Linked DNA regions of Drosophila melanogaster. The protein of the gene in region 1 interacts with the protein of each later gene in a pairwise test. Each region holds a gene or a part of one and is shown in the gene's direction. Other genes may lie near its edges. The genes, in order: Neto, Cul2, CG14452 and Smyd4-4.

Region 1 (8,027 bases):
TGGCAATTCACATTCAAGACGTAACGTACCACATGGACTATGAACTAATTGATCTTTCGATTTGTTAAGTACATCATGTTCATAATTCATGTAAAAGGCAACAGTGCCATAAATTGGCAAAATCAAATGGGATGTAGCAAATTTAAGTGCAAATATTAAAACAAAGAGCATGGAGGAAACCATCGACCCCATAAATACAATCTTGGAATCTGGCAAATATACTCGTTTATCGCCATGGATATGTGTGCAGACACCCACAATTATTATGGACTATGGAACGAGTTATATACTTGGATATCATTGGGCTTGGGCTTGCATAACTATGGACCAACTCGTTGATTATGTAATTAAGGCCTTTGAGTTTGTTTGTGCTCGGGCTATTGCGTTTACATTTGCGTTTCCCAGTGTCCCAGTTGATCCTTGGAGACGTCTGATTAATAATTGCAGTGGTCGATTGACACTTAATAGCGTTGATTGCGAATAAATTTGCGGGCCAGGCGGGCAAGTGAAATTCTTTTGCAAGCAACGTGTCCTTTGGGTGCGGTTCCTGGGACCTTACGCATATCCTTGTTATTACGGTCATGACTCGTACATTGCTGCTAATCACACTCGAAGGCATTACACACATTGGATTCGAAAGGCAAATAATAACGCACAGAAGTTGGGGCGGGTGAGTGGGTGGCAAATACTGGGCCAAATTATTCCTTACTGAGGCAACAGGCAGCTGCTGCCGGTATTGTTGTTGTTCCTTCTGTGGGTGTCGCTGTGTGTGTGTGTGTGTGTGTGTGTGTGTGTGTGTGTGTGGGTGTTGGTGCTACACTTGTTCGCCTGTTCTTGTTCGCATCTTACTCATTTGGTTGTAACTCTGGCAACCTTTGACCGCCTTTCGCTGTTGTTGTTGCTGCCCTGTGGCCTGTGGAAGCGGCAAAATAGCAAAATAGAACAGCAAATTGAAGCAAAGGAACGTCTCGACCCCGCGTCCCTTCCATCCAGCGCATCCTGCCCATCCTACCCATATCCTGTGGCCTCGCACAATGCGGCTTTTGGTCTCAGTTGTCCTAGGTCCTTCTCCTTTCAGCTTTCTCCATTCTCCATTCTCCGTTGCCCTTAGTCCCAGATCCTGCTGCAAAAACGCAGCCATGGCGCTGCTTTTTGTCCCTTTGCTTCGCAGGCAACACTTTTTTACGCTGGAATTTCAAGCTGGCAGACTCAAAGGATACTCTTTGGTTAAGGTTAATTGGGTATTAATGTGATTACATCGATTTTAAGTCACAGCTGACGGCTTGTTATAGTTTGCATTCGAAACATCAGTTTATTTTATATTATTTTGCAAACGTGCTAAGCTTGGGAGAGGTAATGAAAATAATGACAACTTCTCTTTTGGTTTGCCTTTCGTTTAAAACTTAATCAGGTTATCAAGTAAGCGTAACTACAACCTACAATTGGAAATTTTATATGTTTTTGCAATAATAAACATCAGATTGTTGGTTATACTTTAAGGTTTCCATCAGCTTAATAATCAATTTAATTTAAGCAGCTCGAGCAATGACATAGATTTTAAAATTGGTTAATTTGAGAGAGTATTAGATGATAGGCTTCTACTTTTATTTGAGGTGTTTAACGCGTTCTGTCATAGCAACGCTTCGAAAGCTAATATAAAGGCAATTAAGAGTGTCTGGAGAAACTTCACGTAATCTGCGGGATCTCAAGTTATTAAAAATATGTTGTAATGAAGGGAATGTAGTTTTTAAGAGACCACAGAAGTCGTTTTTTTTTTTTATTTCGCACACATTTCGTACAATGTATGCAAACGAATCGCAAAGGAAATATCAAATCGCTTGAGGCTTTAAGAAAACCACATTCACAACAGTTTCCACAGTCTGTGATCCAGGCATGTCATTTGACATTTCACCAAAAAAAAAAAAACGAAAAAAAAGAAGAGAATAACAACAAAAACACAAAGAAAGCAAAATATAACCAAAGCAAATAAAATAAAATATTTTGCGAAGAAGCCGAACAAAAAATGAAGACAGACTTTGTTGTCCTTGTCAGCGTGGCTACAACTTCCTTGGCCCAGGACGACGTCGGAAGTGCCAGCGGAAATGAGTAAAAAACCTACAACTCACTCAAAATTCCCGCTCACTCCCATCTCACTCGCACTCGAACAATGGGAAATTCCGTTTCGAGTGAAATTTTGTGCCACAAACGAACGCACTTCGGCTGCTTTCGGCCATCGCCTCGTATTCCCACTCACTCGACATTGAGCGTTTGTGGAGCATCCTCAGAGATGCCAAATATTTTGGGGGGGAAAAAAAGCTGAAAATAATTATTTTCCAATTTCTTAAGGTTCGCATGAAACCCGTATACTTGCATCATTGTTTAACGTTTTGGTGAAATGTTGTGATAAAATGAGTTTAAGTTTTAAAATAAATCGCACTATTTTTTGGCTCTTTACCATATCAAAATGTATATACTAAAATGAGCTTGAAAGTGGGCGGCGAAAATATGTTGATGTTAAGAAATGCATCTGGATATCGAGCAGACGTTTCCCATAATTTATTTTTATTAAGTTTTTATTTCTTAATCTCTATAGAAAAGCAAGATATTATAGATCACTGTCAGTTTTCATATTCACATCCGTAAATCTAATAGGAAACAATTTTTGTTTAAAAGAAATAATTAAAAGCTAAGATCCGTCATAAATAGTACTGTCAATTTGAGAGGCTAGAAAAATAAGATAATACATATCAGCTTATAATTTTTAAATTTCTTTTCGGGAAATTAATTTTTAAGCGTGGGAAATGGACAAAAATTGCTAGATTCTCGCAAGTATTTTATTTTATGGTGTGATATTCTTCTAAAATTAGATATTTTTATTAATACGTATTTTTTTTTTTAACAAGTGGAATCCAATTAGTTTGTTTTATTATGTTAATGATTGTTAGTATTAAAAAAAAAACTTCTATAGATATTGGGCAAACAACTCAATCAATTTTAGGTAGTAACATAATAAAGTAATAAATACGAATACAATTCTTTTTGGTTGATAGAAAAGAATAAGACAGTGAGCGGCTGGAAAAACTAGCCAGAGTTGTCGGGAAAGCCGGCTAAGTAAGCAGCACTGGCGGGTCGACAACAGCAGTGGCAGCATCCGCCGTGGCAGCGGCAACAGTCGAGCGGCAGACTCGATGCAGCAGAGCCACAAATTCCGGCATTACGTATACGCCCAGTCTACGTCGAGTTGGCCACGTGTACGGACACGCGGCGCGGTTCGCTTTCTCCGGTGACAGCACATTCGATATTAACGTTTCACTACCAAAAAAAAAAAAACATCGCGATTGGTTGCTAATAGACAAGCACCAGAGATACGATTTTAAAATCTTAAGGTTTTGCTTTTGTTCAAAAGAAATACAAATTTTTTTGTTTGGTTGTTTGTGTGACAGTGACAGTGCCAGTGTGAAAGTGTGTGTGTGTGAAAAGCTTGCCGGCTTGAAAAATGCGCGCCAAAAATTGAGATATTTTCGCGGAGCGCAGCGGCAACAAAAACAAATAAAAACAACATTTCGCAACGCAGCCAAAGGAGGCGACAACACGCAAATAGTAATATATACATATATATATAAATTAAACATATGCACATATACATATATATATTAGATGGCAGCTTTGCAATGTAAACAAATTATATTTCCGTGTTTTCTTAAAATAACAAATCTATTTGCCGATATTTACCAATTAATTAGTGGGCTAGTGACAATATTAAGTTGCAAAGGATAACAATTATAAAATAAATACGTATACTGCTGCATTCCGCATAATAGGCAATAAATATGTTTGCGAATATATTAATCAAATCAAGGCATTATGGCTGTGGTAGCTGAATGAAATTTGCATAAATCAAGCTTCAATGATCCAGAGGGCACATTAGTCTCTTTTAGCCTGTAGTTGTAAAAGTTGTTCGGTTTTAGCCAACAAAATGGAAATGAAAAGGCAAAAAGTGGATGTGTCATAAAAATTCCTTTTGCACAGAAGGCGTCCATTATGCGGATTCTAAAGCAATATTAAAATAATCTCTAGTAATTTCCTAGTAAGTGCCCACTTAAATGAGTTTTTCTTTTTTATTAGTGCGCTTTAAGTCTTTGATTTTATTTTAATGCGTCTTGGGATATATTTATACATATTATTAATTGTTAATTTGTTCAGCAGTTTTAGATCGAATATACTTGCGATTAAACATTTCTAAACATTTTGAAAAGTGTTCGATTTTTTGTTGTTTTTATTATTTATCTCATATAAGCTACAATATATGTTGAAAGATTTCGAATGAATGTTTAATTTAAACTATTTTGTCGCATTCGTTTGGAAACTTCGACCGTATTTTCTATGTATCCCGTATAGATAAGTTTGGGGCCACTTAGCGAATTGGCGGACATATTTTTAGACATAGCCCAAATAGTAAAAAAACAAGAGCAGAACGAGTAAGCGAAGAGGGGAAAATTGTATAAAAACCAAAGACACGAACGCAGAGGCTATAGAGAATTGGTGAAAAATGAGAGAAATTCATTAATAAAAGACAGCAACAAAAACAAGAGCAAAAATTAAACGGCTGCCATCAGGCTTTCCCACTTCTCTCACCAATTTTCCCTTTCGTTTTCCCGCTTTTCCTTGTCCACGGCACAGCTGTGATCACACGAAGAGAAAGAAAAAACAGAAGAAAATTCGGAAAAAAATGAAAATAAAAATTATTACATATGCGTAATGGGTATTTTGTGTTGTTGCTGCTGTTATTGAAGAAGATTTTCCAAGCTACAACTACAACAATTCCGTTAGCGCCAACTTTGACGAAGGTTTTCCATCGGCTTTTCTTTAAATACCCTCGCGAATACGCAGTGTATGGATTAGGGATTGATGAACTATGCTATTAGGTTAAATAAAAATATACTCCGCAAAACAATAATAATCATTTGGGCTTGCAAAACTGAATGCAATCTTTATTTATTGCATTAGTAGATTGAATAAATTAATTGTTTACGGGGTATTGTGTTGGTTGTTAATTGTCCATTAACTTAATTTCCCAGTGTTTTCTCTGTTTTGTTGCCGTCTCAATGAATTCACTAGACTTCCAATCGTCCCATCTCTTTCGCATGCTGTGCAGCCATCTCTCTCTATCGGTGGCTGACAAAGTTTTGCATTATGTTCATCTCGTCTGTCGCTCTTCTATATCCCATTCCCACATATGTGGCTCAAGGCTATCTTATACACGCACTTTCAGCGCCCTCGTCGATTTCTTAGTTTTTCTTCTCATTTTCCATTCATTTTTGCTGCTCCCATTTCGGTTTTCTTAAATTTTTTCAGCATGTTGCCCTCATAAATTTGGGCGAGGCAAACAAAATTTTTGTGGTAAACTTTTATTCACGAGGGTTTTTTTTATTTTTGAAGGGAAACTTCGATGGTAATTAATGGCATGTTGACCAGCTGGTCAAATAGGGAAAAGGATTATTCCTGCCTTTTAAGGACTAAAGTAAAGGATGAGTTCTTACTCCAAAAGAAAGCTTAAATCATATTATTTTCTTCTTCTGTGTATTCTTATTTTGTTCAAGAAGAATGTATCCAGCATTCAACAATTACAAATCAATGTTTAATAGCAATATTTATTTGTACTCCGTATTTTCTGAGTGTGATTATATTGTTGTTCAGATTTTCTCCATTGATTTTAATTCAACCATTTCGTTTTTGTGATCCTTTTAATTTTCTTAGCCATGTTGTAATTTCCCTTCTAGTTTTTCCACATTGGACTCCATTTAGTTTTATCTCTCTGCAGCTGTGCTGAGATTAAATTTTGTTCAATTTTTGTAACCATTTATTTCAATAAAATTAAGCCAAAAGTTTTTACAGTTAAGCCCAAACTTCCTTTGGCGATTTCGGTTAGCTTAACTGCTTTCCGCCTCCTTTGACCACCCATTTCCTTTGTGTCCCGAGCAACAGGTCCTCTCTCATTTGCTGGGATTTCTTCTTATTTATTATTTGTGTCTGTCCACAGTGTTTTCATTTCTTTCCCCGTATTATTTTTGGCCGCAAAAAAGTCTGATCTTAAAGCCTTTTTGCATTGTGCGGCGATTTTCGCAGCAATTTCCCGTGGAATGTGAAACTAATTGCAGCTGGACTTGGGTGGTTGGAAAACGCAATGGCATACAACTAATCAGAACGGAAAAAGAGCAGAAAAGCCTGGAAATGGGCATGCGAATGGGAATGGGAATGGGCCATTTTTTTTCGGGCTGCTGGAAAAGCCAAAAGAAAAACGATTTCAATAAATGTCATAAATTTGCCCGACAACTTTACAAAAGGGGCGGAGGAAGTGGAAAAGCAAAGGAAATGGCTTTTCCACAAACCAACCCGCCGCCTCTCCCCCTGATTATCGTCTGCTTTGCTGTCGGCTTGTAATCGCTTTCATTACAGCAGAAAAAGGGAGAAAAAGAAAACTGACCAAATATAATAAAAATAAAAAAAAAAATAAAAGAAAAGAAAAGAATGAAAATCCAGACCCAGGCAGTAGCGAAATGCAAAATGCCATGAAAATGGAAAACCAACATGGCCATTTCCACAAGGAAAGAGACGGCCAGATAAAGTACTGCTTTCACTTTTTGGCTTCTACTCGTTGGCAGTAATTTATTTGATTATTTTTTTCGCATTTTTTTTATTTTTATTTATAATGATGCATTTAAACTGCTGTCCTGCAAATAATAGATCTTTCAAGAATATCTTAACCACTTTACAGCGGTTTCGTTGGGATATTTCTTATCTTTTGTGTATATGTTATTTATTTATTTATTTTTTTTTTACATTGCGGCCACTGCAGAAATTTGGGCCACAACAAAGCCAAAGATGTAAAGTGAAAAATCTCATTTATATATAGGTAAATGTTGTGTGTATCTGCACATTGTCATGGGAGCTGTCGGCTATATGACCTGATTGCGGTTGTGCCTTCAGATCTTAAGTGAAAAGTGAATGTTTCAGGAAATGAAAAACAATGGTGCACAAAATCATCAGCAATGTCGTTTTGAAATGGTATTCAAAATCCGAGGAATAGCTTAGAATGTCAAGAGCAAAATATGGAATAAAGTACTTTAGGTTTACCTAGTTCTTTGCTCCCTCAAAACTGCAGAAATAAATGTTTGAAGAACAATTGGAGAAATGATTAGATGCTATATAAAACATATTGTTTTATTTATATTTCTTTGTAATATATAGCAATATTACAGAAGTGAAATGTAATATTGATAGGATAAAAGCCCAAGGCAGCAAACTGTTATTTTGATAGCCGAAAAGTTATGATCAATTAAAGTTTTTTTTTTGCAGCAAGTTCCCCAAGGTAAATCGTTCGACAATTAATTCGACATCTGTTACGCTGGGTAGCTATGTATTTAATTTTTGGCAAATTTGCTAAATATATGCGCTCTATGATTTCATATCATGTTCGGTATTAAAATGCACTTGTTTTTCCGTACGCAAAATGGCTATTATTTGCCTGCTTTGTGTGCGCAAAAATTCGACTATGAAATTGCCAGAGTGCATTGTCAACGGAAAATAGTTGAAATTGTGTCTAATCTTTTGCGTTTTAAAACAAAATGCTATTCTCTTTGTTGTTATCAGGTGTATATATGTATATGCATGTGGGTTAAATTAGCGAGAATTACTAAACATACGGCAATATCGATGCCACACAAATGAAAATCCATTACTAAAGGTGGACAGCGCCGTCGACGGCGACTTTGACGTCAACCTTCGCAGCAAACTAAAAGAATTTGGTTCAAGTGCCAAATGAAATATTGACTAGGCAACGGAGGACTGCGAGGATGAGAAGCGGAGACTGGGAGACTTTGAGACTCTGAGAAACTGAGAATCGAAGAATCTAGGCATACATATATCGGCGCGTGTGTTACCAGCCAGCCAGTTTGCCCATGCCACCCAAATCAACCCAATAGCCGACGCATCTCGTGGATGCTCTAAAATAATAATAATACACATGG
Region 2 (10,608 bases), on another chromosome or scaffold:
GGTGTGGTAAATATTTTTTTCATTTGTTTTAGACATGGCCAGCGGATTCTATAGAAGAGTCAAGTATGTCTTTCCTTAGAGCTCCCAGTCGCATCATAGTGGATCAAGGCAGAAGCTTTGTCAGCAACAAGTTCCGTGAGCTTTGTTCAACAAACAGGATTGAGTTGTTTTCAATAGCTACAGATGCCAGCAGAGCAAATGGGCAGGTTGAAAACAAATGAGCGTACAAGCAAGGAAAACATGCGAAAGGATGTAGAGTAGTTCGGTATGAGGTCATGTGTTAAGTGAGAAGTATCATCGAGTGATTAATGTACTAGATGGTCATCGACACAATTTGAAGTCGTTAGTTATCAAGCGAACATATAAATATTCGCATGAATGTAATGGTGACTCCCAACAGAGAAAAGAGTTGAAGGATGGCACTAGTGAACGTGCATCTGTGTCCCAAGAGAGAAAAGAGTTTAAAGATGGCACTAGTGATCGTGCATCTGTGTCCCAAGAAAGGAAACATTTGGCGAACGTTATGAATAGAATGGCGTGTGACCGCACTATAACAGCTAACTCGCAGGGACGAGAAGTGTTATGGCGGGGGTCAAGTGATGATGACTGCACTATAACAGCTAACTCGCAGGGACGAGAAGTGTTATGGCGGGGGTCAAGTGATGATGACTGCACTATAACAGCTAACTCGCAGGGACGAGAAGTGTTATGGCGGGGGTCAAGTGATGATGACTGCACTATAACAGCTAACTCGCAGGGACGAGAAGTGTTATGGCGGGGGTCAAGAGATTGGGTGTGAGAGAAGACACGCCAATGTTATTATGAGAAATTAAAGTCATGGAAAATGTAAATAGTTTGAAGTTTTGATATGTAAATTGGAGATGTCTTTGTAAAAGAAAAATCAGTCATGAGATGAATTGTCAATTAAATAATTACTGATTATTACTTGTTGTCATTAATTGTTCTTAAGTTGACGAAGTTGTGTGACTTGGACTTGATTGGTGGATTAGGCACACGAGGACGTGTGAAAGGTCAGGAAGGCCGTGTCGGAGCGCGACTCTTCGCATTCCAGAAATTCCTTCTGTGATTTCATATTCTGATGAAATTGTAATATTGCGGTAAAATTCTGTCGAGCGCTGCGGCAGAGGCACGAACAGCCTCTGCAGCTGAGTGAGGTCCGATCGAGTGGTCATAAATAGTGTGTTAGAGAGAGATGACAATGTGGCACACGTCAGTGTGTATAGCCATTAGAGAATATGATGAAGAAGGGACATGTAAGAAGATCCCTTCAGTGAAGTTTGACTGCTGACGTCGATCGGAACTTGCTGCGCTGACGTACAAAATCGCGAAGTGAATAAATAATATGGATGAGACTCCTGTTTCGCCGACATATATAAGAAAAATTGTCTTCTCAAAAATTGTGAAAAACAAATTGTAATCCAACTTTTTACATAAATAAATAATAAAAGTAAAAATCTTTTAAGGTACCGTACAACTTGGAACAGGTTCTGTGAGCGAAGTAATTAATATTTGTAGTTATCGTCGGAATCTTGTATATGTCGAAGAGTCATCAGGACACTCTTTTTCCTCTTCACTATTCTCGTTGTTGCATAACGTTTTCTGGCGCGTGAGCGAGACATGTCTGTTCTGCTCAACGATCGATCACTAACTGACCCAATCTCTCTTCACAAAATCCGAATTACGCGTAATTCTTAACTCTACACGCATTGCCAACACATTTTGGAGACCCACTCCAGTCCGCACTAGTGCACACCGCATTTTTCTGTACGCTTCCGTTATTCCTGCAGAAATCTACTTGCACCCGCTCCTACCCGCGACCAGAAACTCTAACGGTTCTCTGCCGCGCATCAAAAGAATAGAAAAGGCAATTACTAGAAATGTCGTTACATTTAAATGATCTGCGACATATACAAGTTGTCCACGTACATGTTGATATACAAATTCAAAACTCCAATCTCAGCAGCAGATAAATAACCAAACTTAAAGTAAACACCAGTCAGAAAATTTCAATTTCACAATGCTGTGAAATAATTTCAGTATAAAGCTTTTATCCTAAACATATTTGAAGTTCCAGAAAATTCTAAAAAATTTCTAGGTTGAGTGGATTAGGATTTAGATTTAGAAAATCAGTCTAAGTCCGGACGAGATTGTGAACATTTTCAAATTAAGGATAAGATAAGATAAATAAATTTTAAATTTTAATTTACATGTATCTACATATGTTGGCTGTTGTCTATCCCAGTTTCGAAAACAATGCATGTAAAAAGCGTGTAGTCACAGAAAAATTATATCTCCACGAAAACTGTGGATTAAATTGTAATCAAACTTTTTACACAAATAATGAAATTACAACATTTTTAAGATACCGTGCAATTTGAAGTTTATTTAATTTTTTGGAATTCACCTCCAAATAACGATTAAGAAATAAATACAAAACGTCTGCCGTGCTGATGGCTCAGGCTTTCCTCAGGCTGGAGTACCCCCCATGCCACAGCTCTAAACACTAAAGTCGATAACCACCGACGTCTCACAACACTGAAAATGTAAGCAATGTTAAAGCGAACACAAAGACAAAAAATTTAAATGTTTTGAAATGCTTAGAACATCACACCTTTTGGTAAATCGGAGTCCGAATTCTTTAAATAATTCTCGGTATATATATTAATTATTTTTTACATCATTTACATCTCAATCCATTTCTCCATCAGTATATGGTATCACACTTGGATCGACGACTGCTACATTGGATAGGTCAAAGTGAAATGTGTGGATGGCCTTTGGAAGCTACAAAGGCTGGAAATAGTGGTAGGCGATGTGCCAATTTTTGGCGCATATGGAAGGTTGCAAGTATTGATCACCGGCGGCTACGGTGGATGTGGCTCCAATTTATTCTTTGGAGTAAATTTCCGGTTTGGTGGATAAAAAAGTTCCAATCGACTGACAACCAACAGACAACTAAAAAAATTTGGCGCTCAACGATCTTAGCCATTGACAAATATGAGACTTTCTGATTTTTTGAGCTATACATTTTGTAAATTTTTGTTTCTTTAAGCTTAATGGTTTTTTCGTTTGTTTATCTTAGCCTTTATATATTTTCTTAGTAATTAAACATGTATTTATTTTGTATCTATCTCTTTGTATTTGTATTTTTTTGTATGTATCTCTGTTTGCCTTTTCGAAAGCCACATCTAGGCACTTAACAGTTTAGACCTTTAAAACTCGGTCTGTACAAAATGGATCATTCTTCTAGATCATACACTTACCTTTAAGGCATAACCCTTAACTCACTTTTGAAATCTTTTGAAAATGTATATTCTTTTGAACAAAAAGGTTGGCACTCGAGAGCAATAGCAATACGTATAAGCAATCGAAAAAAACGAAAATCATAAAAAATCCTAACATTATTACAGTTCACATATGAAATCAATTTAGGTTTGTGCACTTACAGTTTTTTAAGAAAATGGCTTTGGCCAGTTTTTAGGCAGGAAGGTAAAAAATTTGTTCAGTGGATCGGCGTTGACAATAAATTAAGATCAAAACAAAAGCAAACGTTTCGGTAGTGGAGACACGACATTCTTTTTACATCGAATTTTTTGTCGAGTTCAAATATCGATAGATTATATCGATATCGTCTTCGTCTGACAAACCATTTCACGATACCAAAAAAAAAGTGCAAAAATAACTAAATTCTCGGCGTAATTATTTAGTAAATAGCGTAGCTAAGCAGCAGGTGAGTAGGTCGCAAGCGCGCCCCTCCACGATCCATCAAGCGGTAATTGGCCTGCTGTGCAATTGCTCGAGGACAAGGCCATTTGCCTGGTGGCCCCCACGCAAAAAGTAAGCGATTATGCCAAAAAGCAAAGCAGAAGTGGTCTCTGCCAACGCATGAGGGTCGCTCGGTCGCCCATTGTTATATTTGCGAAGGCAGAATCAGTCGGCGTTCTAATTAGCGTGCACCCTGTCCCATCAGAAAACCCTTCCAAATCCATATCCAGACGGACCACGGATTAGGACTAAGACCCATTTGACATGTCGCTCAAGCCCAAAATAGTGGAGTTTGTCGATGTTTGGCCGCGCCTGCGCTGCATCGCCGAGTCGGTGATAACGCTCACCAAAGTGGAGCGCTCGGTGTGGAATACTAGCTTCAGGTACGTCTTGGCAACGGTCGGAGTATTAAACAGCCTGGAGAGAGATATTGTGATAGGTCACTAGAGACTACAAAGTTACCCAACTCAGAAGAAACACAAATAACACTAACTAACTTTTAAATTAATCCAACATAAGTAATGGTTTCAATCACATTATTTTGCATTTGAGTTGGTAAACTATGAATGTACTAGTACCTAGCGGTTCAACTATATATTTTATTCAACAGCAAAATTCACAAATATAGCTGCTAGCGAGGCGAAAATGATTTGGTAAATGTCGTAGAATCTTGATAAATGCAATCATAGTTTTAATAATAAATGCCTGTTTTCTAGCTTGAATTTAAATATTTTGACCGCTTAAAGGTTAAACTAAGTTCAAGTAAATATTAAATAGATCGATGACGTATCTTTTTAAAATTAATAATCAAAACAGTGTAACGCAGGCTGCTTTTATTCTGACCGCAACTGTTCGTATATATGTGTGAAGCGTGAGTTGCCAAAATAAAATTTCTAAAATAACGAGCACTAATACATCTGTCTTTCCAATCACATTCCTTTAACATATAGCGACGTTTACACACTGTGCGTGGCGCAGCCGGAACCGATGGCTGATCGTCTTTATGGCGAAACAAAACACTTTCTTGAGCAGCACGTCCAGGAGATGCTGGCCAAAAAGGTGCTGATCGAGGGAGAATGCTCCCATTCCAATGGTGGCCCAGACCTTCTCCAGCGTTACTACATCACCTGGATGGAATATAGCCAGGGTATCAAGTATCTGCACCAATTGTACATGTAAGAATGCATCGAAGTCTGTAATAACTCAATGATCGTTGGAATTAATTTCCTTTAGCTACCTGAATCAACAACACATCAAGAAACAAAAGATTACCGATACGGAATCGTTCTACGGTAATCTGTCAAGCGATGCTGCGGAGCAGATGGAGATTGGCGAGCTAGGTCTAGACATTTGGCGCCTGTATATGATTGAGTACTTGTCCAGCGAACTGGTCCGTCACATACTCGAGGGCATTGCCGCAGACAGAGCTAGCAATGGCACCTTGGATCACCATCGCGTGCAAATTATCAACGGAGTGATACACAGCTTCGTGGAGGTACAGGACTATAAGAAAACAGGCTCGCTTAAGCTCTACCAGGAACTCTTTGAAGGCCCCATGCTGGAGGCCAGTGGCGCCTACTACACAGACGAGGCTAACAAGTTGCTCCATCGGTGCTCAGTGTCGGAGTACATGCAGGAGGTTATCCGGATACTGGAATATGAAAGCCGGAGAGCCCAAAAGTTTTTACACGTCAGTTCCCTGCCAAAACTACGTAAAGAGTGCGAGGAGAAGTTTATTAACGATCGTTTGGGCTTCATCTACTCGGAGTGCCGCGAAATGGTTTCAGAGGAGCGGCGCCAAGACTTACGCAACATGTACGTCGTACTAAAGCCCATACCCGATAATCTCAAGTCTGAGCTCATAACCACCTTCCTCGATCACATCAAAAGTGAAGGTCTGCAGACCGTATCTGCGCTGAAGGGCGAAAACATCCATATTGCGTTCGTAGAGAATATGTTGAAGGTACATCACAAGTACCAAGAGCTGATCGCAGACGTCTTCGAAAACGATTCTCTATTCCTGAGCGCATTAGACAAGGCGTGCGCCAGCGTTATCAATCGCCGGCCAACCGAGCGGCAGCCTTGCCGTAGTGCCGAGTATGTGGCGAAATACTGTGATACGCTACTGAAAAAGTCTAAGACCTGCGAGGCAGAGATCGATCAAAAGCTTACTAACAACATAACCATATTTAAATATATCGAGGATAAGGATGTGTATCAAAAGTTTTATAGCCGACTGTTAGCCAAGCGCCTAATCCACGAGCAAAGTCAGAGCATGGATGCGGAGGAGGGAATGATCAATCGTTTGAAGGTGCGTGGTCTGCTAGTCTAAAATGTACTTCACAGTGAATAACTGCAATAATGTGAATTATTTATTTTTAATGCTGTTTTAATTTGTTATGACCCTTTTACAAAACTACATTAGCTTAAATAGATCTTCTTTTATTAATACTTACAGCAAGCCTGCGGTTATGAATTTACCAATAAACTTCATCGCATGTTTACGGATATATCGGTATCAGTAGATCTGAACAACAAGTTTAATACTCACCTTAAGGATAGCAATGTGGACTTAGGTGAGACGGAAAATGTATATTCATTAAAGATAGTTTATTTTTATGTATGTGTATTTCTATGCAGGCATCAACCTTGCCATTAAGGTACTGCAGGCGGGCGCGTGGCCCTTGGGATCTACTCAAGTTATACCATTTGCAGTACCACAGGAATTTGAAAAATCTATTAAAATGGTACGTTTTTCGTAAATGTATATATTTTATTTTAAAACGAGATAGAAGCTGCCTTTGACAAACCAAAGTTATAAAAAATTTTTTTCAGACTTTCTTTATTTAGTCAAATTTTTAAAGAGAGGCCTTTTAACAATATTCAGAAACATATATAAATATTTAAAGCAGCAATAAATACAAATAATATATAATAATAAATACAGAAAAACCTTTATGTAAAAAACTTTCCTTCAAATCGACGACTACATCGTAAGGTGTTCTCTTGAAATGTGTGACATATAGAAAGTTAAAAGTATCTTTATTTCAATAAAGGTACTTTAGCATACCAAATCAAAACGCAACTTCTTTTGGTCCAAATACATCTTAAACCGTGTGACTTTGTCGAAGGTACTTCAGAAATTTTAAATGTATACGTTAATCGTGTACTGTACCTTTGTTATGATTTTTCAGTTCGAGGATTACTATCATAAATTATTTAGTGGCCGGAAGTTGACTTGGCTACATCACATGTGTCATGGAGAATTAAAGTTGAGCCATTTGAAAAAATCTTATATCGTGACTATGCAAACATACCAGATGGCGATAATACTGCTGTTCGAGACTTGTGATAGTCTGAGTTGTCGGGAGATCCAGAACACCTTACAGCTAAACGACGAAACGTTTCAAAAGCACATGCAGCCTATTATCGAGTCAAAGCTTTTAAATGCCAGCTCAGAGAATCTCGCCGGTGAGACTCGAATAGAATTAAATTTGGATTACACAAATAAGCGTACAAAGTTTAAAATAAGTTCGGCTTTGCAAAAAGAAACGCCACAGGAGGTAAGGCATTTCGATTTCAACCTGGTTACCTGGTACCTGGTTTTCTAACGACGTTATTTATGTAGGTTGAGCACACAATTAACTCGGTAGATGAGGACCGAAAACTCTTTCTACAAGCCGCCATTGTAAGGATTATGAAAGCGCGTAAAGTCTTAAAGCACAATGCCTTAATACAAGAGGTAATATCTAAAACACCTGACTGTGAATTAAAATTACATGATGTATTTTTTCTTTAGGTTCTCTCTTTATCGAAGGTTAGCTTTACTCCCAACATAGCAATGATCAAGAAATGCGTGGAGTCATTAATTGACAAACAATATATTGAGCGAACGGCGAACTCGGGCGATGAATATAGCTACATGGCATAGACTGCGGTAGAGATTTTTTATTCTTAAACAAGAACCTTCCCGGACAACAACCTCCCATACACACAACTGACGCTAACCAAGCGGCTTATTTTGTCTAAAAAGAACTACCTACAATGTTAAAAAAAGAAATCAAAAGGTCAAGCAATTTGAGTTTTGTTATTTTTGTGGTCATAGCATATTGGTATGAAAGGTGTGTGGAAATCAAACGACGTTACTGATACTTTTAATTTAGCTTAGTTAGTTGATCCATTTTGATTTAATGCGTGTGTCCTATTCAATTGTAGATATAATATATTTCTTTATGTATTGTATATTTATCTGGTTTTATTAACACACGCACAAACCAGAATAATGTGCTGGAAAATGTATAATAAATCCCAAAAAATGTCTAAAAATATGTCATTCAAAGTATTTCGTATCCTGTGCGTTAACGCTGTACCACTGTACACTTCAAATTTACATAAATGAATGCTGTGCAAAAAGCAGTCAGCATTGCAGTTTAAGTATGCGGATAGAGATCTGTACTTTTTATTTGGTCGTCTCGGAAAAAACTGGATCTATTGTCCGGAATCCCATTCTTATAATTTTTTGATTTTCTAGTACTTTTTAATAACGAATCCGGGTAGAAATAGGCGTACCACCACCTACAAATTGGCATATCGTATATTGAGCTTTGAGTTGTCAAAGTGCCAAAGAAAGTGTAAAAGCAAACATTTTTCGAAACTTTCAAGATTGCTAAGATTCTTAGATTTTGTTTTAAAAGAGCTTTTAAGGACTTTCCCATCTTTTTGTTTTTGCTCACACATTTTATTGGACCTTGGTTTAAAATATAAAATTCCCTTAAATTCTTTTACTAATCTTAGAATGTCGATTTTATTAATTTACAATACCTTGTACGTATGTTCAGTAACCATTTAAGTTTCGCCTTTGCCAAGAAATCCAATATTTGTATATATTAAATACCCAAGGGCCGTGGATTATATTTGTTTTTAGTCATTTTTATTTCTTTTGTGCTACTTTTCTAAAAAATATATATCATAATGGTAAATTAATTAATTTTACAAATATGTATATGTAACTTAATAGTTAATTATAAAAATTATTAACTTCCTATATCAAATAACACTAGTTCATTGAACGGAATAAATAAAAAATACTTTTAAGTCGCTGATAACATTAATTTGTTTTGATAAATTCGGTAGAACATGATTGTAATTTGTTTCGCGATAAAAAAAGCGGTCCCATAAAAATCTTTTTAACGCTTCTGAATCCATGGCCATACCCTGAAAACAACTGCCTTCAACGACTTAAAAGCATTTTGGATGTAATAGCTGTAACTGTAATACAATTCGTTAATAATAATTTTATCTTGTTTTTGAGTGCCACAGCTCCCGCTGATAAAATGATTCCAATATTTATGTTTTTGGCATCCACTGAGTGTTAATAAAAAATATGTTATCTTTCTTATACATTTTTTATGGTTCATTTTTTATATTTAATGACTAGTAAACGTTTACATATTGCAATTTTCCTTTCCAACCACTCAACTTCATTTTTGCTCAAAATTTGAGAAAAGCTTTCTCTGGTAAAATCGTCTTGAGCATTTTATAAGTTTAAAGTTTTTATGTATTAAATTACTCTCGATCTTGTTTTTATTATCAAACATTCGTTAAAATGTGGAGGGTTTAACTTCATTCTGTTTCAGTTTTTGGAAATTCTATACGTATCAGTTTTAAGAATTTTTTTATAATCTCAACTTGATTTTCCTGTGTTGCACTCTGGGGCGTGGCAGATGTTCGATTAATAATTTACATGAGATAAAAAAAATATCTCATTTTATTGCCCGTTTCTAGCTCCTTTAAATACCTTGCACAACTTTAAATTGATGTAAGAAATAAAGTGTTCTTGCCTAGAACCCTAAACGGTTTAGTCGTAGTCCAAACTATATATATTATATATATATATATATATACATATATAATATATAATATATAATATATAATATATAATATATAATATATATAATAATATATAATATAATATATATATATAATATATATATTTATATATATTCCTCATACATATACGAGTATGTATACAGATTTAAACTAATTCAGTGCTTTTAAATTTCTTGTTGCGCCACAATGCTGCGTGTATTCGGTTAGATTTTGGTTATTCGATCATTGGTCATATAACTACAGTAATTGCTTTAATAGTATTTTAAAAGATGAGTGTTGACCGCACATTCACTTTACACTTTATTTTCTTTGACTTGTAGGAGTGAAATCTTGTTTGTATTTGTTAGGTTCATTTTATTTATTTTGCCATTTTTTAAATTTAATTTTATCTTTCTTAGCGTTTTTTTCATTGTCAGTCTTTACGATTCACGGCTTTTGTGCATTTGAATTTTCCAATTGTCTTCTTACTGTATGACCAATACGAAATTTTATGTATTTTTTCAAGGCGAACGAACACAAGCGCTTTGCTGATCGAATGAGCAGGTGAGTGACTAGGTGAGTGCAAAGATGAACTGGCAGGTTTCGACCCGATAGAAGTTAATGCACGGTTATTATAATTTTCGATGCTACTATACACATATGTATGTGTATATAAAACAAGGGGTATATCCAAGAGGGGATTTTTACTGATCTAAAGAGACCGTTTTGGAGCGTTTCCAAAGAGATTTAAAAAGCCCCTTTTTTTTAGGTTTGTTATTCGTGGTCGCCCCCGAGGCTCCATTGTCTTTGCGATTGGTATCCTTTCGCGTGGTGGATCCTAGAAAAGTGTTTGGTATCAAAATTAAAGTCTTTTGAAAAGTTTTTTCAAATTTATGTTAACGCTACCGATTAACTATCAAGAACCTGCTAAGGAGAGGGAGCTTTTAAATTGCA
Region 3 (6,314 bases), on another chromosome or scaffold:
GAGGAGGAAGAGGAGGCAGTGGTCGTGGTGGATGCGGAGGAGGCAGTGGTGGTAGTGGTGGTGGCGGATGAAGCCGTGGTAGTGGTGGCAGAGGAGTCGGTGGATGTGGTCGCCGTCGAGGATGTAGATGTGCTGCTACTGCCCTCCTGAGCCAGGAGCAGACACAGGAGCACGCTGAGAAGTAGAGCGAATAGGAAGCGCATTTTGTTGTGTCTAATCTAATCTAATCAGACGGCCTTTTATACTCAATACGGGGTAACAATTAAACAAATATCATGTATCGGAAATCGGAAATGTGTGCACAGCCTATCCAGCTCGTCAATGTCTTGGGCTTGTAAGGTCAACAGAGTAAAAGAGTCGATCGATATATTATTGATAGTGAGCCGGGTTTAACTCGTTGAAAACGAGATAAAAAGGTAATATTATAACGCTTCTTACGCCTAATTATGTATGGCGACCACGTCACGTCTGAAGGAAATATTTGGTATAACCTATTTATGTACATTCACATCTTATCTGAGTAAAAATCGCAGCACTTGACGAGTTAAAGGTGTTTTATTTGTTCTTCATTTGAGCTTTGCGTACCCAATTAACAGTTTTGTGCTGTTGCATTTTGGCTTATATCCATTTAAGTTCTCCGAAATTAGAGATTTATTTTCCAAAAAAACAAATACGTGGTTTACATTATTTTTAAACCAAACACAACAAAGATGTGTATAATTATATTAATTTTATACCAGTTACCGATTTCAAAATTCGTCTCGATTTGAAACAGGCTACTCCTGGAATGAGACTAAACTAGATTTGTTGAAAAGTATGTAACAGGCGTTTCCGACCCTATTAATTATACATATGTATATGCTTGATCACTATTACTCCGTCTGTCCGAACGAATGTCTCGACCTCAGCAACTCTAAAAGCTAGAGAGTTGAGAACGTTGAACTCCCTCAAGCCGCTTAAATATGCCACTCCCACACGTTTTTGTGCTCCAATAAAGTAGAATTATCAGAATGTACAATCAAATGTTTTATTATCTTGGCGAACTTGAACAATGAAAGAATTTAGCTTTCACATATTTACAACAGCTTTTCCTAAATTGTCATAAGCCGAGTCTTTCCGAAGACCTTCATCCGCTCAGCTGGTTGATCTGTCGACGTTGATTCTCCAGTTGCTGGCGCAGCCTCTGAGTCCTGCGCTGCCTTCTGCGCTCCCTTCGTTGCCTCTCACGCGCCAGACGACGGCGACGGGCGCGCCTGCGCCTCCTGGCCTCCGCAGAGGAAGAGGATGAGGAGGAGGCAGTGGTCGTGGTGGATGCGGAAGAGGCAGTGGTGGTAGTGGTGGCGGACGAAGCCGTGGTAGTGGTGGCAGAGGAGTCGGTGGTTGTGGTCGTCGTCGAGGATGTAGATGTGCTGCTACTGCCCTCCTGGCTAAGCAGGAGGCATCCTAGGACGGAAAGAACAATTACGATCGAGAAGCGCATGCTGAATGTCTTTGACGCATTTGAGACGTTACGCATGTTTTTATAGCAAATTTGAATAATGGTGGTTTACCAAAAGCGTGTAAGCTAATAGGTCTGCTGGATTGTTAGCTTTAACTAAGGTAAATTTTGGTAATGTTTATTCAGATTGAGAAATTATGTGTGCCGCCATATAGTTTAAACGTTGCTCTTGAGTCTTAACACACATAATAATGTAATAGATTTACGGTAATGAGCGCGTTTCTCAACCAAGTTTCCGGGTTCAACATCATATAAATAGGCTATTCTCCAAATCATAAGATATAACTGCTTAGAATGCGATTCATATTTGTTCTGCTCTTGGCCCTTCTCGGCTGCCTCCTGTTTGCCCAGCAGGGCTGCGAAGCTACGGGAACGAGCACTGAAAGCTCCTCGGATAGTACCAGCGCCTCGGACACCTCCACTACCGCGTCCTCTTCCTCCGACACAACTGAAGCCTCAACGTCTTCCGACACCACCACAGTGGCCTCGTCTGCCACGACTACCACCACTTCTTCGTCCTCGTCCTCGTCGTCGTCCTCCAGCGCGGCCGCCCGTCGTCGCAGGGCCGCCGCCCGTCGTCGTCGCTTGGCCCGCCAACGGCGCAGGCGCCAACAGCGCCAAAGGCGCCAACAGCGCCAAAGGCGCCGCCGCCAACAGCAGCGCAGAAGACGCCAGCAAAGGCAGCGCAGTGGATAGACGATTGCTACAGTCGAAGAGGAGGCTGCTGCAGCTAGAAACCTGTCGAGTCAGACAGCTAATACAAGCCAAAGATTGATGTTTTAACTAAATTGCAGTTGCGTTGCTGTGGGATATTCCGTTTTTTAAAAATAAAGAAAATTTTAAAAAATAAATTATTTATATTTACAACTTAGAGGGGGTCTCTTACCTCAATGGGAATTTCTGAAATGGAGTTGTTTGTTTTTTCAGTCTGTTCAAGCTTTCTGTTCTGGCAAAACTAAGTAAAGTATGTCTGCTTTCTCAATTGATGATTGTGTCGTGTCTAATTATTAACTCAAATGCACTATAATCTTAGAGACCATGTTACGTTTTTCAAATTATTATTATTTGCCAAAGATAATACGGACTTAAAATCACGAAAACGTGCTAAGATGGCAAAGCACGAAATTGTAAACTAAATTGTCGCTATCAAATAAGTTGACTATCCACAAAAGGATTATAGATCCTTGGGGCTTGGCTTGTGAAAACCAACTCAATAGGATCCAGGTTATCCAGAATAGGGCTGCGAAATTGGTCACTGGTTGTGTATATGTGTATTTCATTAAATAAACCAGCACTCGAGTCTCTACTATGAAAGGCTAAGGCACCACAGGAATAGTCTGGCAAATACCCTGTATAGTACACGCCCACCAATGAGGCTTAATAGAAGGCAACCGAAAGACCTCATTCTTCGATCTCCTTCAAGGAGGGCCAGTAGACCCTGTCCTTTATACAACTGTTATTGTCCCTTTTTGTTTTTTAGATTTTAGATACAGATAACTTTAGTAAGCTAAATTAATAGCTTCCATGGTTCCAAAGGGGGAGGTGGAAACCAAATAATAAAATGAAAATGCAAAAATTGTTCAAAAGTGTGGGCGCGACAGGTTTGGGCGGTTTGTGGACGTTAGAGTGCGAGTGGCAAAAAGTTTTATGACATATCGAAAGTAATTTACGAAACTAACACAAAAATCACAAAATACAATACAAAAACATTTTTCAAAAGTGTAGGCGTGGCATTTTTGGGCGGCTTGTGGGATATAGAGTGGGCGCGTCCGTCTATGTCTCTAGAATCTGTGTTCCTAATCTCAACCTATTACGCCGTGTGTTATTATTTTAGCATGTTAATAAATTATTTGAAATGTATTTTTTAAGAACGTTTAATTTTACTTACGGCTTCCCTTTTTCCAAAGTACGTCATGGAAACACCAATTTGAAAACACCATTTTAAATTGTAATCTTTATTTATAATTTTAGCTGAAGGGCTATTTTTTTTTGTAGAATACCAATTAATCAAATAATATCATAGAAAATATTTCGCCAAGGAAAAAACAAAAGAATACAAATCGAAAAGCTGAGCAAACATATCTGAATGTCAAGTGTAAGAACAAAATAATTACAATCTAGTATAAAAGCGCCCACTTTTTTCCATCTTACACACATTCAGCATGCGCTTCTCGATCGTAATTGTTCTTTCCGTCCTAGGATGCCTCCTGCTTAGCCAGGAGGGCAGTAGCAGCACATCTACATCCTCGACGACGACCACAACCACCGACTCCTCTGCCACCACTACCACGGCTTCGTCCGCCACCACTACCACCACTGCCTCTTCCGCATCCACCACGACCACTGCCTCCTCCTCATCCTCTTCCTCTGCGGAGGCCAGGAGGCGCAGGCGCGCCCGTCGCCGTCGTCTGGCGCGTGAGAGGCAACGAAGGGAGCGCAGAAGGCAGCGCAGGACTCAGAGGCTGCGCCAGCAACTGGAGAATCAACGTCGACAGATCAACCAGCTGAGCGGATGAAGGTCTTCGGAAAGACTCGGCTTATGACAATTTAGGAAAAGCTGTTGTAAATATGTGAAAGCTAAATTCTTTCATTGTTCAAGTTCGCCAAGATAATAAAACATTTGATTGTACATTCTGATAATTCTACTTTATTGGAGCACAAAAACGTGTGGGAGTGGCATATTTAAGCGGCTTGAGGGAGTTCAACGTTCTCAACTCTCTAGCTTTTAGAGTTGCTGAGGTCGAGACATTCGTTCGGACAGACGGAGTAATAGTGATCAAGCATATACATATGTATAATTAATAGGGTCGGAAACGCCTGTTACATACTTTTCAACAAATCTAGTTTAGTCTCATTCCAGGAGTAGCCTGTTTCAAATCGAGACGAATTTTGAAATCGGTAACAGGTATAAAATTAATATAATTATACACATCTTTGTTGTGTTTGGTTTAAAAATAATGTAAACCACGTATTTGTTTTTTTGGAAAATAAATCTCTAATTTCGGAGAACTTAAATGGATATAAGCCAAAATGCAACAGCACAAAACTGTTAATTGGGTACGCAAAGCTCAAATGAAGAACAAATAAAACACCTTTAACTCGTCAAGTGCTGCGATTTTTACTCAGATAAGATGTGAATGTACATAAATAGGTTATACCAAATATTTCCTTCAGACGTGACGTGGTCGCCATACATAATTAGGCGTAAGAAGCGTTATAATATTACCTTTTTATCTCGTTTTCAACGAGTTAAACCCGGCTCACTATCAATAATATATCGATCGACTCTTTTACTCTGTTGACCTTACAAGCCCAAGACATTGACGAGCTGGATAGGCTGTGCACACATTTCCGATTTCCGATACATGATATTTGTTTAATTGTTACCCCGTATTGAGTATAAAAGGCCGTCTGATTAGATTAGATTAGACACAACAAAATGCGCTTCCTATTCGCTCTACTTCTCAGCGTGCTCCTGTGTCTGCTCCTGGCTCAGGAGGGCAGTAGCAGCACATCTACATCCTCGACGGCGACCACATCCACCGACTCCTCTGCCACCACTACCACGGCTTCATCCGCCACCACCACTACCACCACTGCCTCCTCCGCATCCACCACGACCACTGCCTCCTCTTCCTCCTCCTCGGCGGAGGCCAGGAGGCGCAGACGTGCTCGCCGTCGTCGCCTGGCTCGTGAGCGCCGTCGTCGCCAGGAGCGGAGACAGCGCCAGGAAAAGAGGAGGCGCAGGATGGAGCAGCTGCTGGTGAGGCAGCGTCGCCTGATCAATCAACTTCAGGGATAGATAGGGCTGATTACCAATGTTACTAGCAATATAAAAATAAAGCCATAAGTGCTAATTAATGTGCTAATTACATATGCGTTGCTTAATGGCCTGGTAAAAACCTACAAAGTGTAAGTTTTAGTCCTTTTAAATGCTAAATGTGCAAGTCATTTACTGAAAAGTTACTATTGCAATATTATGCTTAGTAATCTTTATATACATATTGTAGTTTTACAGTAACAATAGACTTCTTTCGTCGGTAGGTATCATTACTCTAAAAGCAATGTGAAGAAGGAATCTTACATGCATGCCATGCAATAATCATATATTTAACGAGAGAGAATGACATAGTAGAGCTCCCCAATGTGTGGGATATCGATAGACATTGAATAAAATGAGACAAAATTTAAAAATTGTTCATAAGTGTGTGCGTCACAGTCTGGCGGGTTAGTGTCGTTAGTGTGGGCGTGGCAAACAATTTCTTGGCAAATCAATGAAAAAATATTCAACAATTTTTAAAAAACGTGGTCGTGGCAGTTTTGGGCGGCTTTAGGGCCTTCTTTTGGCTTCAGGCCAAATTGGTCAAAAAACTCGTTCTGCGTCTATTTCCCTACAATCTGTATGCTGAATCTCAACCTTTTAGCTATAGTTCCTGAGATCACGACGTTCATACGGACAGACGGACATTGATCCTGATCAAGAATATATACACTGCCTGTTACATACTTTTCAACGAATCTAGTATAACCTTTTATTTATCAACTCGGCAGTTGATACATCATCATTACTGCGTTTCAGGCTACTCACTTAGATTAGTATACCCTCTGCAAGGGTATGAAACAGATAGGTACGCTGCAATGGCTTTATTTGAATGTAAGTCTTGCAATTATTCTCCTATCTGAGAAAGTTATATTGTTAAGCCATTTTTCGATCTGCACATAGTAAGAATGGAGCCAAATTAAAATGTTGCGCATTGTCGCCCGATATCCTTCGCTTGGCCCCATTTACGTACAAATCCTTCAAAGCGGCGCCCGC
Region 4 (8,453 bases), on another chromosome or scaffold:
TTCTTTCCAAACAAAGAAACTATAAATGAAGTTCTTCTTAAGACGTGCGATTTTAAGCAAAGCCAATTGGCCCAGTCTGCTTTTCAACACATTTTTAAAAGATCTTAAGCTTGCGCACAGTGTGTAAGCTTCTTGATCTTTCCAAAATTCAAGATCAAAACAAACGGTTTATCTTGCATACTTTACTACAGGGTGACCTCTATCATCCAGTGCTGTTAATTAACTTATTAGCTGTCTTTTCAACTTGGAACTGTGCAACCCAATGAATTATATAGTGCGTTGGCATCACTGTCACCACATGGTCACATGGTCGTGGGGTCGTGCCTTATTTATAGCCCTAGAGCCCGTCCTCCTGGGCTTTGTGTCAAAGTCAGGCTGTCAGTTGCATCAAGTCGAGTTCAGTTCCCTGAAGTTTCGTTTCTAGTCCAGAGTGCAGTTGCAGCCCAGTTGGACATCTGTTTGCACTTTCCGCCTACGTCCTTTGTCCAGTGTCCACTTTTTCATATAGTTTGCGGCGGAAAAGCTGCGTGGCAAAGAGCATGGCTAATAACAGGTTGACAGAAAGAATAGGGAAACTGAATTTTTGGTAAAATCGCTATGATCTAAAGCATTTTAGGTCTAGCTGCTCTCATGGTTTCACACCCACTGTCTGTAAGTAATAAGTACAAATATACATAAAAGACCCTACTTTGCGCCATTTATTCACATTTGTAAGCTGGGTGGGCGACTTGACTGCTATTTAATTTTAATTTTGCCGGCGAATAGTAGACGCAGTACGTTGAACCGAATGAGCTCTAAGAAAAATAAAATTGCTCGTTCGCCTGTCGTGATTGTATTCTTTTTCATTTTTGAAGCATCAGTTTCAGGTATCGTTTTGCACGGCAGCCATTCCCTGGGGAATCCCTGGGATTTAACAAATTTTCAGCCAGTTCAATGCACAGCGTTGAAGTTTAAAGGTCGCCATTACAATTATGGCCAGGTTAGCTTTAAGACACTGTAGTTTGAAAAAAAAAATGGGTTTGGCCACTTTGATAACTCGAGAATGGAACCATCAGTGCGGCATAGCAGTTTGTCTTAGTACTCCAATTTAAATGCACGTTATCCAGAGAACAAACCACAATTTGAAAAAACACCTATACTTCATACATTATTGTTTAAGCTGTATTTTATTAGTGACATTAATTGCAATAATTAGCTGTGCGGTTGCTAATGCTGCTAATTTAAAAACTTTTCATAAATTTAATCAAACGCTCTTGGTTCTGGTTGTGATAAGTGAAACAGCATTTATTGATAAAGTGCGGTTTATTTTAGAACTTATTTAAAAATTGAAAGGTACAAGCTATTTTTAGAATATTTTGGACTTCCTGCCGATGCCAAGCATTAAACACTTATAGGTTGTAAACAAAAAGTTTTGCATATTTAATAAAACCAATTATGTATTTTTTATGTTTTCGTAGCTATAATTAATTTTTTTGTGATGTACTACACAATCGCCGAACATTAAAAACCGTAGACTATCACATACCTCTTACTTATAAAGGCTTTAGACTTCATCTTTGTCGCGGACCTGTTTGGGGCTATCGACAGTTAGTCAAGACCCAATTTAGAGCCGCTAGAAGTTAGAGATATTTGAGTCAGGACTTTACTCCGTTTCGATTTACTCCGTTTTAATCTCAATCTTAATCTCAACTCTCTAGGATCTATTGTTTCTGAGATCCCGACATTTATACGGACGGACAGACAGGCGTACTCGGCTATTGATCCTGATCAAGAATATATATACTTTTTATGGTCGGAAACGCTTCCTTCTGCCTGATACATAATTTTCAACGAATCTAGTATACCTTTTACTCTACGAGTAACGTTTATAAAAATTCTATCCATTTCTCATACCTCGATGTTTTGAAAAAATGCAGTGCTGCCACTACGATCGAAATGCGGTCACACTAGACAGCTGATTTTTTCCAACTGGAAGATTTGCTTTGCACACTGGACAAAGGAAATGTCCCATTTGTCGGCTTATCCAGCATATACGTCAGTCTAAACATGGAGAAAAGCTGCAGTATTGGCAACGGACGGGAGCAATACGGCTGGGGACATGGCGAACAATGCGGCACGCAGTTCCTTGAATGTGTCTACAGGAACGCGTCCATGTACTCTGTTCTGGGCGATCTGATCACATACGTGGTGTTCCTGGGGGCTACGTGCTACGCAATACTTTTCGGCTTCCGACTGTTGCTGTCCTGCGTGCGAATCGTCCTCAAAGTGGTTATCGCCCTCTTCGTCATCCGATTGCTGCTAGCTTTGGGCTCCGTCGACATCACATCTGTTAGCTATTCCGGGTGAAGTGACCAATCTGGCGAATGCCATCGGGACCACGGCCTTTAAACTACATTAACTAAATCAAATATAAATTCCAAATTGAAGAACACTGTAAATTACATTAAACGGTTTGTCATTAATTCCTTTGTTAAAGAGCACTTGCCAACATTAAAGCATAATATTTTATTTAATTAACCCAACAGAACAATTGCTGACTCTTAACATGATCAGCTAACTATCTCAATTGAAATGTTGATTAAACAAAAAATTTAAGCTTTAATTTCGTCATGGTAAGTTGATGGTATTCATTTATCCTCACACCACTCGTTCTCCTTGCGCACCTGTTCCTCCTCCTGTGGCAGAAAGTCATTCTGGATGGCGAAGGTGTCGCGAATAGCCTGCGGCGACTTGCCCTTGATCATATTGGCCACCGTCTTGCAGGTGACGTCGAGCAGACCCTGGATATTCAGGTAGTTTGCCGCGAGGATCAGTTCGAACAGCGTGCCCTGGTCGACTTTGAGAAAGTCAGCGTCCCAGGATGAGATGTCATCAGTGCGCTTCTCCTTGTTCTCAACCTCTTCGGTAACCACAGGATCGTCCTTGTGATAGGTGGCCCAGTGGAGCACTTTCTTCAGGATCAGCGAGTTGACATTCGGCAACGGCAGCACACTGTTGTCGCTCTCATCGCCCAAATCCTCTATTGCAATGCGAATCGTTTCCGAGCACTTGGCGATCTCCTGATCCGTGTCAAAGATCTCCTTGTCCGCAGACTCCAGCCGAATGATGGGCATCTCTGCGTAAAAATTTTTATTTTTGCTTATATCTATATTTTCAATTTTATTCGTACACACCTCCTGCTGATTTGGATCCCAAGATTTGATACGAAATCGGTTTGATTTATTTGCAGACGCAGCCAAACAAAATTTTTAGACACAACACGATGTCACTTAGCTGTGGCCTACTGGCTAAAAATAATATTCCCTTGCCTTCAACTTGAACCGGACTGGTGCGGCGGCCGCCTGAGAACAGAGCGTTTGTTAAATAAAGAACTTGGCTGCCAATAATTCCCCGGATTCTTAGAAAACTAGAACGTCGTACGATTTGAAGAGGAAATTTGTTAGTGAAACGGCCGCCAGTGTGCACATACTCGGAATGGCTTTAAAAGATGGCGCCTATTACAGTTAATGGTGTGGAGACACTGTGACAGCTAGCGGTAAACAAAAGCTCAGTTATATTTTTTTATAATGTATATATATATATTTTTTTTAAACATATATATTTTGGCACAATTCAAGCGTGCTGGGCGTTGTATTATTTAAACAGAAACCTACAAAATTCTGCCTTTATAGTTAGTTTTTATCCTGTTTTTATTTAATGAATTTCAAATTTCAAATATTTTTGTAAACAATTTTAAGCTAGGCCAAGGGTTTGTGTCGCGGCTAGTGCAAGCAGTCAACTTGCGGCATTTTTTAGTACATTTCCCTCTGTGCTGGGTTATATATTCGCAGGCTATACTCCACACTGCTTCCAGCGGAATCGTCAAAAAAATAACATTAAAATCGCCGTGTGCATAATTAGAATATTTCCGAATAGTAATCGCCCGTGAAATCGCTAATTAGCGGTCAGCACTTGCGCCAGTTAAAGAAATCGCGGCACCGGCAGTGGGCCAAAAGAACATTTTTTCCGGCTGAAAAAAACAGGCGGCGGCGTCGACACGCGGACCGAACCAAAGGATCCGAAGCCATCCGATCAGATCTAATCCGATCCGGAGAAAATTCCAGGACACTAAGGACTTCCGAAACTACCCCGCACAAGAGATGGACGTGTACGACGTGAGCGATGATCTGATAAAGAAGCTGCAGGACTGGAAACTAATCGGCATCATATCCGGCAAGTTCAACGAGCTGAAGGAGAACCATCGCAAGGTTGACTTCGTGATGCGCGCTCTTATTGACTTCAAGTACATTGAAAAGATATTCCTGAATGTAACGCTTCGAGAGGACAAGTGCAACAAGCGGAGCGTGGAGTTCCGTATGCTGGGCAACGAGCAGTTTTCGCTCAAGAACAGGAATTACTTCCAGGTAATCATTGCCCCCTCAATCGGCAAACTTAAGCTAATCCCTGCGACTCGTTTCAGGCTCTAGAGCTGTACAACAAAAGCATCTGTTATGCCGAACCGAATTCGGAGCACCTGTCCATCGGCTATGCTAATCGGTCGGCGGTACTATTCGAGTGGAAGCGCTATCGGCAATGCCTGGACAATATCAAGCTGGCAAGGCAGGCCAACTATCCGGCGAGACTGAGCCACAAACTAGACAAGCGAGAAAGGGACTGCCAACAGCTACTCGATCAGCAACCGCCGGATGTGGTGCCCTATGAGTTCAAGCTCAGTTTCGAACCGCATGCCCAGGTGCCCTTCATCGCCGACTGTTTGGAGTTGCGCGAAACCGCCGCCGAGGGTCGCTTTGTGGTGACCAATCGGGATTTGGCCGTTGGGGATCTTGTGTCCGTGGAGGAGCCCTTCTGCTCCACACTGCTGACGCCGATGCGATACATTCGGTGTGCCACCTGCAAGCGGGAGAACTATCTGACCCTCATACCCTGCGACAGCTGCTGTTCCACGATGTTCTGCTCCGAGGAGTGCAAGTCGATTGCCATGCAAACCTATCACCGCTACGAGTGCCCCATCATTGACTTTCTGAACCGCATGTTCAACAAGATCCACTGTATCGCACTGCGCACCACACTGGTCGCGCTGAATATCTTTCCCAGCATCGAGGAGCTAATTGACTTCTGTGAGCAGGAGCAGAACCAGGACAAGTGCGCCTTTGACCTCAACTACAACGAGCTGACGCCGGAGGAGCACTACCGGGCCATCCATGGACTGGTGACAAACCAGCACCTGCGCTCCGTCTCCGATCTCTTCCAGCGCTCCGTGGTCTGTGCTGTGCTCAAGCACTTCATAATCGAATACACACCCGTCAAGGAATATTTGGGCGGCGAAGAAGGCGTGAACTTCTTCACGGACCTCCTGTTCCGACATCTGCAGACATCTCCCTCGAATATGCACGGCATCGACCTGGTCGAGCAGGTTAACGAGACCAAGGACGACCAGACGCACTCGTCTGGGGCGTACGCCTTCCTCTCGCTCATAAATCACTCTTGTGCGCCGAATACTGTAAGGATATACGAGGGCACCAAGGCGTACATGTTCGTCCTGCGGCCTATTAAGGCGGGAAATGTGCTCTACGACAATTACGGGTAAGTAGTAACCAAAGCATTCTGACCACACCACTTTAGTTCAAGCTAATAGGGGTCCAAGTCACTGCAGCTCTCTTCAAATACTAAAACTAATAGATATCCAACTTTTTAGTGCTCACTTCGCCATCTGCAGCAAGGAGCAGCGTTTGAAAAGGCTGTCCCTGCAGTACCGCTTCGACTGCAAATGCGAGGGCTGCGAGCTGAACTATCCTATGTTCGGAATGATGCCGCACAAGGCGACGGTGCCATCGGTTACCGATGACACGGAATTGGCACTGAGCTCCTACAACTATGATTTCGCGGTGAGCAACTATCGAAAGTACTGCGACTTCCTCACGCAATACGGTGACGACTATCCGTGCGAGCAGATTAGCTCCGCGGAGGAGTGCCTAAAGATGGCCCTGCATATCATGGCGGACGCAGTGCCGCTCAAGGCGAAGATGTAATCGGATCCTGCCGCTGAACCAACCCACACAACCAACACGGACGAACTTTTCCTTTGCTAACTTTAACTGGAGACAGCGTATTACAAGCGAGACACAAATCAAGGAGAGTAATTGATTATACATACATGTTGTTGCCATAAGTCTGTAGCGCAGGCAGCAGCGCGATGGGGAGGGAGCATGCCCTTAACTTTTATATTTGTAATTGTACATTTTCGACCTTTGATTATGTTTTACCCCGCACCAAGCCCGCACACCACACCCACACAACGCCCAGCACACCCACACAACGCCCAGCACACCCACACAACGCCCAGCACACCCACCACACATTTCACAACAATTCGAAAGTTCAAAATTCTAAAGTTTATTTATTTTTTGATCACAACAATGTCTTCGATGAAAACAAACAAACAAAGGATTATTATGCAACCTACGTCGTTTTTATAATTATTTTACAAAAACCAACTGAAGCAGAAATAAAATATTTTCAAAACGAAGTGACTTTGGCCTCAAGGCATTTTGCTGTACAGGTCCAGCAGGTTCTGGTTCAGCAAGGATCCTCCCCGGGACATGGACGTCGCCACCTTTTCCGAGGACGATGCCGATGTCGTGGGCTGCAGCTGTACAAACTCGCAGCCAGAGGAGCTGGCCGCTGTGTCATTGAAAAGCACATTGCCGAAGGCCTGCTCGAACTGCTGCTGGAACTGGCGGGCGTTGATGGGCTGCAGATCCTCACTTTGCGCCGGATTTATGTTCAGCTGAGCGGCCAGCTGATCCATGCTGTTGGGCTCCCGTTGTTGGCGCTCCCGCTGGTCGGCACTCTTCGCATAGATATTATCGCCGGCTGACTCAACGTATTCCGCGTAGTAATCTTGATCCACGTCCCTGATGAAACTACCGTCCATGGCCTGAAAGCCCATGCGAATCAAAAGCGATATCTTTGTGTTAAAGCACTGCAGCCAGGCCCGATTCGTCTGGTAGATGGACAGCTGCGCATCCTCACCGCTGGCATTCCAAAAGTCCAGCAGCGTGTTTTTCGTGAAGTCAATCAGCATATGCCGTTTGGCATCCGGATACAACCTGTTGATCGCCTCCAAGTGCCGAAATGTAATCTCCAGCAGATGGTGCTGATGGCGGGAAACGAAAAGCTGCCACTTGTAGACCATAGTCATCAGATTCCACAGCTTGGACATCGACTGCTCGTCGAGTCGCATCAAGGAGCAGGTGGCAATGTCGTTCAGCATAAACTTGCAATGCTCGGCGGTCAAAAGCTGCGCACTATTGTGTTTCGATCCGTTTAGGAGCGAGTCTATAAACTTTGGTTCGAGCAGCACAGAAGTCACATCGTGGATAACTGGTGGAAGATATATATATAGTGTCTTTTAAATTTGAATTTGAATTTGAATTGAAGCATATAGCTATGCAGAAGACTCCAAGGCTCTAACTTTAACCTTTACCAAAGCTTGCAAGGACGACTCTAGCATCTCAAATGTAATATCCATGTTCAAATTTCTTGGCGGGATTTCTTACCCTGGACCGATTTGTCCTGAGCAATCTGCTGCGCCTTCAGCCGCTGATCGATCACGTAGAGCATCTCGCAACCGAGATTGACCAGGATGAAGACATTGGCCCGGGGATTCTACAGCTGGCGTGGACTAAAGTTGGCCATCGTTTGACGGGCTACTCGATGGCACGGGCGGCGATTGCGAACTAAACTGGAAAACCGATGACTTCGTCGAGCACGCAAGGCTCGGAACCCAAAACCGTTATTGGATTTTCGGTTTCCGTGCGGACTGCCGGCCCCCATTTACACGGAAAACAAATACGTAATCGTTTCGTATAACATCGGTTATAAAAAGCTAAAGATCCAAACTTGATTGTTCGGTATAATCAGAAAACATTCTTCAATATGTTTTCTTACTTAATTTTTTGAATAACCAATAAGAAAACGAATGTATATGTGTATATTTTGTAGGCTAAAAGGGTTTTGGTCTCATTAACTCATCATAAATATACAATATAAGTTGACCTTTACCATATATCCACTGGGCGTTTTTTCCAGTGTCCTTTCGCATTTGATGGCTTTATGAGAGCCTCGGCAACGTCTTTCAGTGCAAACAATAACGAAAGTCTGTCCGTGGCGACAGGACAGGCCGTGTATAATTATGGCAGCCATGGTGGGAAGGACGAACCTCCACCAGCGCCGGGCAATAAATTTTATTGATTTGTAAATTTCCATTTCAAGCGCAGGGCAATGGTAATTAGCCTGGAAATTATGGCAGCAGGTTAAAAAGTTAAAGCGCTTACCCTATTATACATATGTGTATGTCCATCACAACAGGATGGAAAGCTCCCACGACCAGTAGACCAGCAGACCTGTCTGCTAATTCGTTGGTCGGGCGGAGTGGTTGGTGGTTGGTGAGG

What was found.
Region 2: the proteins of Neto (region 1) and Cul2 interact in a two-hybrid assay, tested with the Drosophila melanogaster proteins (one large-scale study listed by BioGRID).
Region 3: the proteins of Neto (region 1) and CG14452 interact in a two-hybrid assay, tested with the Drosophila melanogaster proteins (one large-scale study listed by BioGRID).
Region 4: the proteins of Neto (region 1) and Smyd4-4 interact in a two-hybrid assay, tested with the Drosophila melanogaster proteins (one large-scale study listed by BioGRID).

The regions. Positions count from the first base shown.
Region 1 is NC_004354.4:13,442,678-13,450,704, forward strand, and holds the start of Neto (neuropilin and tolloid-like), read left to right. Parts: upstream 1-3,225; 5' UTR 3,226-3,600; intron 3,601-8,027.
Region 2 is NT_033779.5:21,655,104-21,665,711, forward strand, and holds Cul2 (cullin 2), read left to right. Parts: upstream 1-3,631; 5' UTR 3,632-3,858; intron 3,859-3,991; 5' UTR 3,992-4,050; coding exon 4,051-4,169; intron 4,170-4,736; coding exon 4,737-4,961; intron 4,962-5,019; coding exon 5,020-6,097; intron 6,098-6,244; coding exon 6,245-6,362; intron 6,363-6,426; coding exon 6,427-6,533; intron 6,534-6,980; coding exon 6,981-7,349; intron 7,350-7,414; coding exon 7,415-7,528; intron 7,529-7,585; coding exon 7,586-7,717; 3' UTR 7,718-8,595; downstream 8,596-10,608. Other genes in the region: CG2225 (uncharacterized protein), read right to left, coding at 10,359-10,492.
Region 3 is NT_037436.4:22,692,310-22,698,623, forward strand, and holds CG14452 (uncharacterized protein), read left to right. Parts: upstream 1-3,643; 5' UTR 3,644-3,660; coding exon 3,661-4,014; 3' UTR 4,015-4,126; downstream 4,127-6,314. Other genes in the region: CG14454 (uncharacterized protein), read right to left, coding at 1-203; CG12546 (uncharacterized protein), read right to left, coding at 1,127-1,480; CG14453 (uncharacterized protein), read left to right, coding at 1,793-2,194; CG32453 (uncharacterized protein), read left to right, coding at 4,938-5,300.
Region 4 is NT_033778.4:12,136,812-12,145,264, forward strand, and holds Smyd4-4 (SET and MYND domain containing, class 4, member 4), read left to right. Parts: upstream 1-3,819; 5' UTR 3,820-4,139; coding exon 4,140-4,403; intron 4,404-4,459; coding exon 4,460-5,583; intron 5,584-5,695; coding exon 5,696-6,029; 3' UTR 6,030-6,461; downstream 6,462-8,453. Other genes in the region: CG18343 (uncharacterized protein), read left to right, coding at 2,047-2,346; SkpB (SKP1-related B), read right to left, coding at 2,628-3,113.